Callithrix jacchus: one gene and its partner. The protein of the gene in region 2 interacts with the protein of the main gene of each other region in a pairwise test. Links are inferred from orthologs where the notes say so. Each region holds a gene or a part of one and is shown on either strand. Other genes may lie near its edges. The genes, in order: ARMC8 and CTNNA1.

Evidence for each region.
Region 1: the proteins of CTNNA1 (region 2) and ARMC8 interact in a two-hybrid assay, tested with the Homo sapiens proteins (2 studies listed by BioGRID and IntAct). The link is inferred for Callithrix jacchus from reciprocal best matches to the Homo sapiens genes CTNNA1 and ARMC8.

Annotation. Positions count from the first base shown.
Region 1 is NC_133518.1:46,140,118-46,147,016, forward strand, and holds the start of ARMC8 (armadillo repeat-containing protein 8), read right to left. Parts: upstream 4,112-6,899; 5' UTR 4,085-4,111; coding exon 4,040-4,084; intron 3,180-4,039; exon of another isoform or gene 3,107-3,179; coding exon of another isoform or gene 3,104-3,106; intron 1-3,103. UniProt on the Homo sapiens protein: Component of the CTLH E3 ubiquitin-protein ligase complex that selectively accepts ubiquitin from UBE2H and mediates ubiquitination and subsequent proteasomal degradation of the transcription factor HBP1.
Region 2 is NC_133503.1:37,209,678-37,216,012, reverse strand, and holds part of CTNNA1 (catenin alpha-1), read right to left. Parts: intron 2,508-6,335; coding exon 2,238-2,507; intron 1-2,237. UniProt on the Homo sapiens protein: Associates with the cytoplasmic domain of a variety of cadherins. The association of catenins to cadherins produces a complex which is linked to the actin filament network, and which seems to be of primary importance for cadherins cell-adhesion properties.

The DNA of each region.
Region 1 (6,899 bases), on a different chromosome or scaffold from region 2:
AAAAATGCAATCAACATAATTCAAAAGTACAGAAAACATGGGAGAAATTTATGAATTTGTTGAAAAGGGTGATGTTGTAATGTTAAATGCAAACCAAAGAGGCTTGGGGTAGTCATGCTGCAGTTTAGAAAGAGAGCTGGAGAGTTTGTCCAACCCTCCAAAATAGATAGTTCAATCAAACATTTACTGAGTACCTAGTATTTGCAAGACAAAGTATTACTTCTCAATGAATTTACTCTCTAAGACGAAAAGATACCGTATTATTGAAGACCTCTGCAAAAGCAATTCCCTTTGCCTTGTATGCTCTTCTTCTGTCACTTTTTCTACTTAGTTCTTACTCATCCTTAAACTCTCAGCTCGGTGTCACTTCTTCAGGGAAACCTTCCCTAGTTCTTCTCATTGCCCTTCAAATTAGATCAGTTTCCTCTATGATATGTTTGAACACCACCCTATATATTTCATTCATAATACTAATCACCATTTACAAACAAACTGTGTGATTATTTGATAACTATTTTTCCCATTAGGCTAATATTTCCAAAAGGACAGAGGTCTGTGTAGCTTACCACGGTATTACCAAACTCAACACCATGCCTGCCTAGCAAATGACAGAAGCTCAAAGTAGTCGAACAGAATACATATATACAAAGCTAAAATTCATATGTACAAATGAGTAGACAGAGACAATAAGATTTACTGGAGTTTGGAAAAATCCTGGTATCACTCTAAGCTGAGAAAGCCAGTGAAAAGGAGGCTTGTGTAGAAAATAAAGAATCACACCTATAATCCCAGCACTTTGGGAGGTGGAGGCGGGTGGATCACTTGAGGTTAGGAGCTCCAGACCAGCCTGGCCAACATGGCAAAACTCTATCTCTAACAAAAATTTTGTATTTTTAGCCAGGCATAGTGGCAGGTGCCTATAATCCCAGCTACTCAGGAGGCTGAGGAAGGAGAATTGCTTGAACCCAGGAGGCAGAGGATGCAGTGAGCCAAGATCACACCATTGCTTTCCAGTCTGGGCAACAAGAACAAAACTTTGTCTCAAAAAAAAAAAGAAGAAGAAGATAAAAATCTCAAATCTGAAGCTGAATATAAACTTGGGCCTTTGGGCAAAACAAATTCACTAAAGAAAAGAAACAGGAGCAGCTGTGCAAAGGGTTCTTCAGGAAAATTAATGTAGAAATGAACTTGCACTGAGAAGGTAAGAAAGACACTAGAGACGGTAAAAATAACTAAAAGGACACTGTGGTAGTGCAGGCATAAAATAACAAGGTCCTGAATGAGGGAAGTCATGGGAACAGAAAGATATGAGAAACACTAAGAATAAAGAAGCAACAGAGCTTAACAACTGGTAGGTACAGGGGGATGAAAGGAGGGAGAATCAGAGATCATTCAGGAGGTTTAACAGTGACTGATCGGCCAGGCGAGGTGTTCACGCCTGTAATCCCAGCACTTTGGGAGGCTGAGGCAGGCAGATCAGGAGGTCAGGAGATTGAGACCATCCTGGCTAACAAGGTGAAACCCAGTCTCTACTAAAAATACAAAATATTAGCAGGGAGTGGTGGTGTGTGCCTGTAGTCCCAGCTACTCAGGAGGCTGAGGCAGGAGAATCGCCTGAACATGGGAGGCAGAGGTTGCAGTAAGCCGAGGTGGTGCCATTGCACTCTGGCCTGGGCAACAGAGCAAGACTCTGTATTTAAAAAAAAGGGGACTGATCACTGAAAGATAATACCATTATCAGAAATTGGGATGTCATAACTAATTCCCCTTAGGAGAAGGAATGTGCTGTTGGAACTGATGGGTGTCATCCACACAGTTGAAGATGTATGACTAGATGCAGAAGAAAGTCAAGATTGGCAATGTAGATACGTAAACTGATCAGTTAAGGTTATAGGAAAATCAATGAGATCTCCCAAGGAGAAGGTATAGAGAGACTCAAATCGAAATCCTTTAAAACAACTTGAATGCCTCCTTGCTAAAATTATCTTCATTTGAAGTTATAGTGTCATCCAGACTATGAGCCCCTTAAATGCATTTCTGATCTCATCCTCACATTCCCTAATGTACACAATACAGGGCTTGTACATAACTGGTACATAGTAGCCTATTAAAGGACTCAACCATTCAAGATAATTTCTGATGAATATTTCCTGTTCTAGTTCACATTTCAAAAACCTTGGTGTTCTGAGTAGTATTTTGAAAGGTACAGGGTTCACTTTAAATTAGTAAAATCTGTGAATTTAAACATTTTAAATCATGTATCCAAAGCTCCTACTTTCCACGTCTCTAGGAGTGAAGATCTGACAGACCAGACTTTGGGACTATGGAAATCTCAAAATAATAATAATAAGCCCCTAATGAGACTAGGGATAAAAGCAAAGCCTAAATAGGTTAATAGAAAATATTCTTCAAAAAGGTTTTGAATAAATTAAGCAAAAAATATTTACCAAGGAAGCGAAACAAATGAAAATTTTTAATCATATGCATTATACAAGTTGACAACATCCACAAAGTAAGCTTCAGCTGAACTGAAGGATAACTGAAATCTAAATCAATAATTAAAGGGGAACTGAGAACAGCCAAGACACATACTGCTTTTTTTTTTTTTTTAACATAATGAGGTAAAAGTCATTGGTTCGCACTCCCACAGAATATTCCTGGATATTACAGTCAGTGGTGGAGTAACAGGCTAAGCTGATTCAGTGATTAGATAAGCAGTATTTCCTTAGTTGCAGTTTAAAAATAAGAAAAAATGACTGCTAAAATGGATCAGAGGGAAAAATCTGTTGAAAGTCTCACAAAATTAAATTATTGTTGTATTGAAAACTTAAGCCTTTTCAAGGTTGAGGTCTACCACGCTGCTCTAACCCTGAATCATAAGCCAATGTCCTAGGTGCTTTCAGATAGGTGAGTTTGTTTGTGGGACAACTCAAGGAAGAGAAAAGAAACCAGTTGTAGTTACAAGACTCTAGGAACCCGACAAGTCATTTATAATCCAACTACCCTCTCAGTATCAGACTGGCTTCCATAAGTCTAAAAGATGGTCAATCAGTATTTGCCTGCTTGTTTCCAACAATAGCAAATGAACCATTGGTAAACTGACCATTCTCAGAGTCGGACAGCTCGAATTTGTTGCAAAATCCTTCGAAGTTATCTCCCAGTAACTTTCATTCCTGGTCCTGGTTCAAGAGCAACATAGTGAAAGGTGAAAGTCGTCTTTTTTTAAAAAAAACAAAACAAAACAAAACTTAAAAAAAAAAAAACAGGTTTTACTTCCTGGCATGTCAACACGTTCCCTTCTTTCAACAATGGGGAAATCTCACCCCTTTTTCCCCCCTTCAATGTTTGACTCCCCTTAAAGAAAAAAGGAATACCAGGCACAGGGAACATACAGTTCCTTTGACCCAGAGCCGCGACCTCTGAGCAGAGCGGAGAAAAGGGGCTTAAATAACCACATACACTAGCAAGAGTTGCAGCTGATACGAAATCACCATTGCCAAAAAGCAAACAGCTTCAGCCGGTGCCCAGGTGCTGGGACGCGATAGAAGCCACATATATCTGGCCTGGCAGCTCTGAGGAAATGGGGGCCAAGGAGCCTGCACCTCTTCTTGCCAAAGCCCCAGAGAGCTGAGTGGGCGCTCGTTCCCAGGCCGGCTGCAAGCCCGGCGCTTCACAAGGCGGAGCGCTCGGCCCCCGGGAAGCTGCATCACTAAAAGGAAGGCTCAGTGAAACGCTTGGCAAAGTCCAAGCCGCGCTGCCCGGCCAGTTGTCTGTAAGCCCAACCACCCCGTCTGCAAGACGCCACCCTGAGAACCCGCACCGGCAGGAGCTCCCGGAGTTGGAAACGTCTTTGACTCCGCCGGGGTCCCCTCTGCCCGTCTATCCCGCCTGTCCACCCTCACTCACACCCTGGCCCAAGACTGAGCCGGGGGCCACTCCAGGGGGTGGTGCCCAGGAGGCACACCACGCTTGGGAGAATGGTGGACACCGGGATGGGGCTCCCTGGAGGGCGGGCGGGCGGCCGCGGCGGGTCACTCACCGAAAGGACGCTCATGCGGATTGGGGTCTCCAACAGGCACGCCATCTTGAGCCTTCCCACCCGGCTGCTGCCGGCGCCGGCGTGGGGGCCGGCACTTTCGACAGCCAACTCTTGGCCAACGACAGGCACCTCTCCCGAAAGGCAGTCAGAACGACGAGAACGAGCCTTGCTCTGGACACCGCTCAAGTACCGGAAAGGCCCGCAGAAAGAAGAGCAAAAGGGAACCGCGTCAGAGGCCGTCCTACGAATCGTTCTCTCAGAAACAGCAGCTACTCTGAGCTTGGGTTAGAGGTGGGAGCGGGCAGCGGTTCCGCATGCGCAAAGAAGATCTGTCGGCCCCACCTGCAGCTCGCGGTGGGCGGGGCTCCAGAGGCGGAGTCTCGTTCTGGCGCTACAAGCTCTACCGACTGATAAATTGTAGTTGGTGGGTTCGCGTATGCATATTCGGAAAAAGCAGTACATGGAGCCACATACATAGTTTGAAGTTCACTTTCATGTTCATTATCTCATTCTGCACCAAACTCCCGGCGTCGTTATCTCCATTTCATAGGTGGGGAAATTGCGATCCCAGAACCAGGTCTTTTGCCTACCATTAAGAGTGATTTTTAACTATGCAATGCAGAAGTGGGACTTGCCTTAGCGTTGTGTGCCGGCCGCGTTTATTCTGCTGTAGTGTTAAGAATAGCCAGAATGATCGGCTTCTTCCTAGCTACTTCACTTAGCTGCCTTACCCTGGGCAAGTTATCTAACCTTCTGTTCGAGTTTCTTCATTTGTAAAATAAAGGTTAATGAGGATAGAGGAGTCAATAAACGTAAAGCGCTCAGAAAAAGCCTAGAACATAGGAAGCGTTATACAATGTGTCAGCGCTTCTCCAGCTTCTGAGTCAAGTGGGGAAAGTGGGGCAAATATCCGAATATTTCACACCAAAAATTATCTGATAACCGAAGCCAAATAAAAGTATTATCTAATTATAGTTGATTAAGTCAGCTGTCCTGCTCCATGGCGTGTGTGTGCAGCACTGCCCTTGACTTGGTTGGACAGGTTTTACCTTCGTACTGCTTGCAACCAGTAAGGTTTTCAGAGTATGGTTGCAATGTTCCTTCCATAGCCGCACCCTAATTCAGGTTGTTGTAACCTCTCCCCTGGACTAGAGAAATAGCTTTCCAACTGGTCTTGTAGCTGGTAGCCTCTCCTTCACTTTGCTCCTCACTGTTTTCCTGTCTTCCTCCTGTACGTGGTTTCCAAATTTAGTGTAGTATTTATCATCCCTGCTTATGGGTCTGTGTTCCTTAACAAACCGTTGAGTTCCTGGAAGCCAGGAATTTTATTTTAGGTAGGCACTCCTTCTGCTATAATACTATTTCCGAAACTTGGGTAATCTGCACACCACCTACAAAATCTTTGCCAATCTGCACCTAGGTATTATTATTCATTCAGTATTTTTATTTAAAGCCTATTGCAACTCATTAAAAAATTCTGGCTTTATCCTAAACCATAATACTCTGAAATCAAGTTTGTTGTGCTCCTTATTTTTCTTCCAGTACACATTAATTACAAAAAGTTTAAATTTCCATCCATGGACCACCTAAAATCACATCATGTACTGTATACTGCAATGGGGCAGAGCATAACCCTAATACGTAGCATATAGAGTCATTATAACTGTATTTGATTCACACTCTGTCCATTAGCTCAAGCAGTATGTCCTCCAGGAATTGCCTCCCTCAGGCATGGGTTAGATGACCCTTCCCCCAATGCCTTCATACTTCAATTGTAGAGTGGTTTTGTTGTTTCCTTGTTTGTCTCACTATACACTTCAGGACAGGCACTAGGAATTTTATCTTCTAGGTTTTCTATCTCAGTGCCTCCACAGTCACTTATATTTGTTGAATGAATTTTTGGCTTAGTTTGAGCCTGGGACAAAGATTTGGGTGCAGGTATTTTATTGGGAAGTGCTTTTGGGGAACAAAATTGATAGGTCAGGGAGAGTGAGAAAAGAAAGAAGAAATGTTCAATATAATTGTCCATTATTGAGGCCACTGTTTATTCCTCAAGCACCTCTGAAAAACATACAGAATACCTCTCTGGATTATCCATCTTGAAGCTTCGGCATTCATTCACCACTACCATCCTGTATTGGTTGAGGATTTCCCTAGAGCTGTTAACTTTCTACCCTTCTGGATTATATTTGTGCACAGAACGGAACGGGCTTCCTTAACCTGATATAAAAAAGCAGGGTTGGCCAGGCACAGTGGCTCACACCTGTAATACCAGTACTTTGGGAGGCCTAGGCATGTGAATTACCTGAGGTCAGGAGTTTGAGACCAGCCTGCATGGTGAAACCCCGTCTCTGCTAAAAGTACAAAAAAAAAAAAAAAAATTAGCCAGCGTGGTGGCACAAGCCTGAAATCCCAGCTACTTGGGAGACTGAGGCAGGAGAATTGCTTGAATTTGGGAGTCAGAGGTTGCAGTGAGCCGAGATTGTGCCATTGCACTCTAGACTGGGCAACAAAAGAAAAACTCCATCTCAAAAAAAAAAAAGCAGAGTCTGTAGGTTTCCTTTTAGGGTGAGATATAGGCAGCATAAATCTGAGCCTGCACAGAACTGTCACTACTGCTGTGGCTGAAATCAGAGCAGGGAGGAGCTAGGAATGTGACTCCAGACATCCCACACCTACCTCTGTTACCCAGGCTTTCCTGTTTTATATCCAGCAGACTGACATGGACATTTTACAGAAAGAAAGCAATGACTAGTCAACTCCTAACCTTGGAGATCAGGAATCTTGCTCCCAGTTCTACTTTTACTGATAAATAACTTTAGGTAGACTCTTCAAATTTAAGTAATGAGTAGAAATTGGA
Region 2 (6,335 bases):
TGAATTTCTATTTTACTCACCTTATACAACTAATCAAATTTTCTGAATAATTCAGTCTCAAATTTATCCTATGTCTAAATTAGAGACTTACTTTCCTCAAGGACCTCTACTATTCTATAAGAGATGAAAGCAATCCTCCCAAAAAGCTACTCTATGAGGAAGAACTGCTCCAATAAAAATAAACCCTTTTTTGGCCAGGTGTGATGCCTCTTGCCTATAATCCCAACATTCTGGGAGGCCAAGGCAGGCAGATTACCTGAGATTGGGAGTTCGAGACCAGTCTGACCAATATGAAGAAACCCCATTTCTACTAAAAATACAAAATTAGTCAGGTGTGGTGGTGCATCCCTGTAATCCCAGCTACTCAGGAGGCTGAGGCAGGAGAATCGCTTGAACCTGGGAGGCAAAGATGGCAGTAAGCCAAAATTGCACTCCCGCCTGGGCAACAAGAGCAAAATTCCATCTCAAAAAAGTAAATAAAATAAAATAAAACAAACAAAAAATAAATAGATAAATAAATCCTTTATCTTTCTCCCTTTCCCCTCCCGACTCCACTTACATCCAGCTTTCTCAGTGCTTAGTGAGGTCTGGTCACAAGTAAGCTTTAGGTACAAGGTGAAACAGCATCCTCAAGACAGCAGCTATTGGTCTCCCTCCAATTTCTCTACTTGATATAATTTATTCTCATACTGATAAATGTCTGTGCAAATATTATGGCTTTAATTTTTCTTTATAGAAACTATGTCCTTATTGATTTCAACTTAAATGCCAAATTTTTTTCTACCAAAACCTTGCCCTTTTCCAATAAGTATACATTTCTTCCTTCCCTTCCAAAGAACCCTCAGTTTTCAAACTGAACATGCAATACCTTCAGTTCATTATTAATCTACATTTTAGCTGATCATTTTTCTTACCAGATTAGGTTATTACAGGATTTCTCTGGCCAAAACTGAATACAAAATGCTTTCTGGCCAACAAAAATGAGAAATGAATGGTCACAGAATTTTATTACAGTAACAGAGCCTCAATAGGCCTGAGATCATTTAGTACAAACCCTCATTTTACAAATAAATACCAGTGGCCCTGAGAAGTTAAATGGTTTCTGGTAGATATTACTCAACTTAGGGCAAAATGTGCTACTTGGGTATCTTTGAAAGATACCCAATGCTGCCAAATTTTGAGGGGAAAAAAAACAACATTGCTAGTAAATTTTAACATGCACCGTAAGAGTTTGTTATAAAATAATTTAATGTTTAAAGCTTCACGGTAAAAACTAAGTTCTAACACCAAGATCTTTAGACTTAACATGCCTTCTTGCTTTATGAAAAGTCTTAAATCAGCCATGCATATCAATAAGGATCAGCTAGCTAAGCAAAAGTAAGGTGGCAAAAGAAAGAAAGAAAAAGTAAAGGCAGAAAAAAAAATGTACTCCACTGTATTTTTATTATTATTATTTTATATTTCACAGCATCGCTACTTTATGAAAGGATGCTGGCCACCTGGAACACAAATTCTCTTCCTTTATTTGTTTTTAATTTGCTCCAACATTACTTTTAAAGCCCTTAAAAAAAAAAAATTAAACTGCTGCCATCTACTGGAAGCTATGAGGCATTGTGGGTAGGAATTAAAAACATACAACCCACCACGTAATTAACATTAGAATTGTGTACAGAGGACAGACCTAGAGCATCATTTATGGAAAGTAATTATGGCATTATGCTAAGAAAGTATTTTAATCCCAAATTTGCTTCCACTTGATTAAATTTTTGTTCATTATTCCACTGTAGTCATTGAAAAGAAGTATATCTAGGCAAACAAGGATTAGAATGATGGTACTTTTGCTGCAGTCACTTAGGATGTTTCTCTGTCTCCCAATACACCACAGCCTCTCGGGGACAGACCCTACGTGTACTTTGTTTCTGTATCTACCATAGCTTCATATCTGCCAGTTCAAAATCTTGGTTGAAATGAATCAAACCCATATCCTCAATAAAGAATGACCTCACAGGAAACACAAGCTACATAAAAGAATCCAAAAGTTTAATTCAAACTAAAAATAAATGTTTTGGGCCAAGTTAAACCCAAGTAAACTGATGATTCATAATTTCTTTTACTTAGATTACAGATCTAAGTGGAAACTAAGCTATCATTAGAGGCCTTGATCACTTTTCCCCAGAAACCTGTTATCTTTTGAGGGATGGTCAAAAGCTAGAAATTTCCACCCAAGCATAACTTACATCAAAGTTATTGAGTGCATATGCCAGTTCTCCTCCTCCTCCCCCCTGGTGCTGGGAGGCATCGTCTGAGGCAGTGGCCTGGGCTGCATTGGAAATGCCCGTGACCGCCTGCTGCAGCTGCTTGTATATCAGGTCCCTGTTGGCCTTATAGGCTGCGACATCAGGGTGCTGTAGGCATGCCTGGGATGCAGTATAGAGGATCGGAACATTCTTCTGCAGGATTCCTCTAGCTGCAGCCATCTGATCACGATGGCCAACATCTTTCAGTTCCTACAAGAGTAAAAGAAGAAATCGGAGTACTCTTTATATGGGTCCTACTCACATAAAAATTTGTCAGTAAATGCTGAAAAGTTAGAATTTCTACTAATTAGACACATTATCTTCATTAACAATCTAGTTGAAAGTCAATCAAAGAAGCCAGTATGGCTTAGCAGGTAAGATTCTGAGTTTTGTAATCACACAGACCTAGATTTCTCCTGGATATTTTGTAACCTTATTTCAAACCCTCAGGGCTAAGGTTCCCCTTCTGTCAAAGAAAAGCAATAATAGGCATCTTACTGTTTTGAGGATTAAATGAGACAATGTATGTGAAGTACTTAGTACAGCACTCAATAAGGCATTAAATAAAAGACAAAACTCCCTAACATATTGATTACAACTCTATATAGATATATGTACTATTCCAATCAAAAGTAGAAAGATCATGAAGAAATACATTCAAACAGAGTTAAGACCTATTATGAGGATTATTTTTTATTAAGTTACACAATTTCATTTTAAGGGTTTTGTGAAATTTGGTCCAGGATACCATAGGTATGCATGAACTAGATAAACTAGGTGATGATATGGCAAGGCTATTCTCACAAGCATGTAACTCCTCCCCTCCCCTTCCCCACCCCAAAGACCACTTTAGGACACAGAACCATACTTTTCATACACAGTACATTAAACAGTTCACAGGTCACTAAGCCATAAAGTTGAGACGTAAGTGCTTCATAATCCCAATCTATGATTACAATACTCTGCATAGATGTGGTCTTAAACTGTTTGTTTTTTTTTTTATTTCTTCTACCCCATAATTACAATTCACAGTACGAAGGATCTGAGGTCCTTGGCATCATTTCCACTAATGATGGCATCTACTTGATAGGCTTGAGTAGATATGCTAAGTGACAAATAAGTGATGCCAAAAATAAACAAGATGGGAATGGGAAGCAGGTATTTCTGGTATTCCCCTTATACTCACATTACTCAGAAGGAAAAAAAAAGGCTTTCATAAAAGTGGATCACCACCACAGAAGAATACAAGCGATAACTCTAAATGATCACTAAATGTAGTCCAACTCTATTTTACATGTTAAGATGTCAATGTTAACGTCATCAACTGAATCCTAGAGTATACATTTAAACATTTTGAGTATTACATGTGTAAACAATAAGAGAAAATTGACCAAGTTAAAAAGGACAAAGTCAATTACTCAATTAGCCGTTTGACTTAGCTATTTAGTGCTTCATCTTTCTAAGAGTTCCTAATTAGGCATTAGAGACACCAAACTGGCTTCCTTTTTCTGAAACTTCATCTGAGTATATATATTTAGGTTTGCATCTTTATTCAAACCTTGTATAATATGACAGCTTACTTTCCTCCTAGAATTCTTTCTCGTTTGGAATCTAAATTTGCAAGTAGTAGCTCACAGCACTCCAAATGCCCTGTAACATAGTACATCAGGCTAAATACTCAAAAACAGGACCCTGTAGATTTAAAGAATCGGTGATCATTTAAAGACTCAAGCAACAAGGGGCTGCAACTACACATTACACTTAAACAGCTGGTGCTCATGTTTTCTGTGGTATTTTCTAAATGCCTTCACCACAATCTCCGGGGTTCTAAAAGTTTTCTAGGAAGGAATTCGCCTTAAAGCACCTAAATTGTCCATTGTTTTATAAAAATGCTTCACAATCAGCTTTGGCATTCCTCCTAACTATCTATGACCCAGTAGATCGGCACAGCCTCTTTAAAGGTTAGTTACCAAAGACACTCGTGGTCATCTCAAGTTAGTAGATACCATAATTACTATTGCTGAATAGTAATTCATGACTTTCCTAAGCCACTGCCTGGTATGGTACAAACTTCTACTTTTCCAAAGACTACATCGGGCTAAATATTCAGAAACAGGATCCTGTGGATTTAGAGAACTGGTGATCATTTCAAGACTTGAGTTATGACAAGGAGCTAGGGCTAACCATTATGCTTAAACAGCTGGTGCGTATGCTCTGTGTGGCATTTTCTAAATGTCTTGCCCTCATCATACCGTATCTCTGATAGACTCCTATTTACAAAGTATGAGGGATATATTTTAATCTATGATGAAAATAACAATGAAATACCATCATTTGTCCTGACTGCTAAACTATTCTTTTTTCTCTCTTAGAGCTGTTCTTGCCTTAGCACAAAGAAATTTCTTACATAAAGAAACAGACACTATCACAATACGGCACTATTTACTGTAATAAGAATAATGATTAAAAGTATTCTTTTCAACATATATAACGCCAATAAGTAATCCAGATTACTGAGGAAAGTGGCCTATTAAGCAACATATTAGATTACTTATGAAATTAGTCTCTTGGTCTACTTTAGCTTTCATAATTCCCAACTTCACCAATCCACTGATGGTTAGGCAGACTCAGGAACAGTCAAAGAACTGCTTTCAATGTAATCTGAACTATCCATCCCATGGATTCACCAAGAAATAGAAGCTAACTTCTAAGCAATCTATAACACTGTGTTTAACCAAGAGCTGAAAATTCAAGTGAAAGCCTCCTCTCATTTCTCCCTTAACAATATAAAACTACAGCCATAGATTTCTCTTGGATACAAATGGCTACACTTAAATAAGTGTCCATGGTCAAATAATCCAACCAGTCCAAATTATTTACAAATAAAACACTGACAATAACATCACTATTCAGTGTCTGTTCAAGATTTCAGGAAAAAAAAAATCACAAAAGGCAAGAATTCATAGACTAAGTAATAAATAAGAAGCATTACATTCTCACCAAATACCTCAATAAGCTCTCTGTACATGGAGGGAGGGAATGTAAGCATCAAGGCATTATTACATAACTAGCATGTTAGGAAGCCAGAGTCGACAATGTGAGGCAGAGGTGGTCCTTCTCATAGGAGCCAGGGTTGATGCCAACTCATCCTTACTTCTGCCATCACTTTTACACTCACAGTCAAAGAACAGCATAGAGCTAATGAAATTCAACACTTCTAGTCAGCAAATAATATTCCAGCCACACTTAATTAGAAAGCAACTGATTAGGATCACACTTAGAATCCAATTCCAGTACAGCAAAGCAGTTTAATCATTCAGTTTTTAAGTATTTATTGAACACTACTATACCCAGGCAATGTTCTAGGCAGTAGGGATTATAGGAAGAATTAAAACAGTATCACTGTCCTCTGGAGCCAAATAACCTGGGTTCAAATCCTGGCTCCACTACTTGTCAGTTGAGAGACCTTGCCAGATTACATAATCTCTATTAAAATTAATATGCAACCAGTTATAGTATCTACCTCGCATTATTCTGTTAAGATAGTAACTGAGTTTATGTTTACAAAGGGTTTAAAATCGTGACATAAGATGGCCAACTAGAAGCTCCTAGCATTCATCCCCCTCAAAACAACACCCAAAACAATGATTAAACAACTACATTTTAACAAAAATAACTGAGATAGAGCACAGAGTGCATCAGAGAACTTACAAAAACCCTAGTTACAAAACTCAAGGCGGCCACATGGAAAAAAGAAGGAAACACCTGGCCTCCACCACCCTATACCCCAACCAGGATCATCTGGGAACCAGGACAAACCTCCCTACTGGAAGGAGGTAAGCAAGAGGATCTCAGCAACCCCCATCAATACCTGGGACACATATAGACCTCACCACTGTCCCTGCAGTTCTCATAGGCACTAAGCCCAGCTGAGGGAGCTGCCTAGAGTCCACACTGCTGTGTTCCCTCCAAGAAGGGGGGCAACACTGGGACTTGCCCTCTATGGCCCATGCAACTACTGCGCTATACCATCTTGGA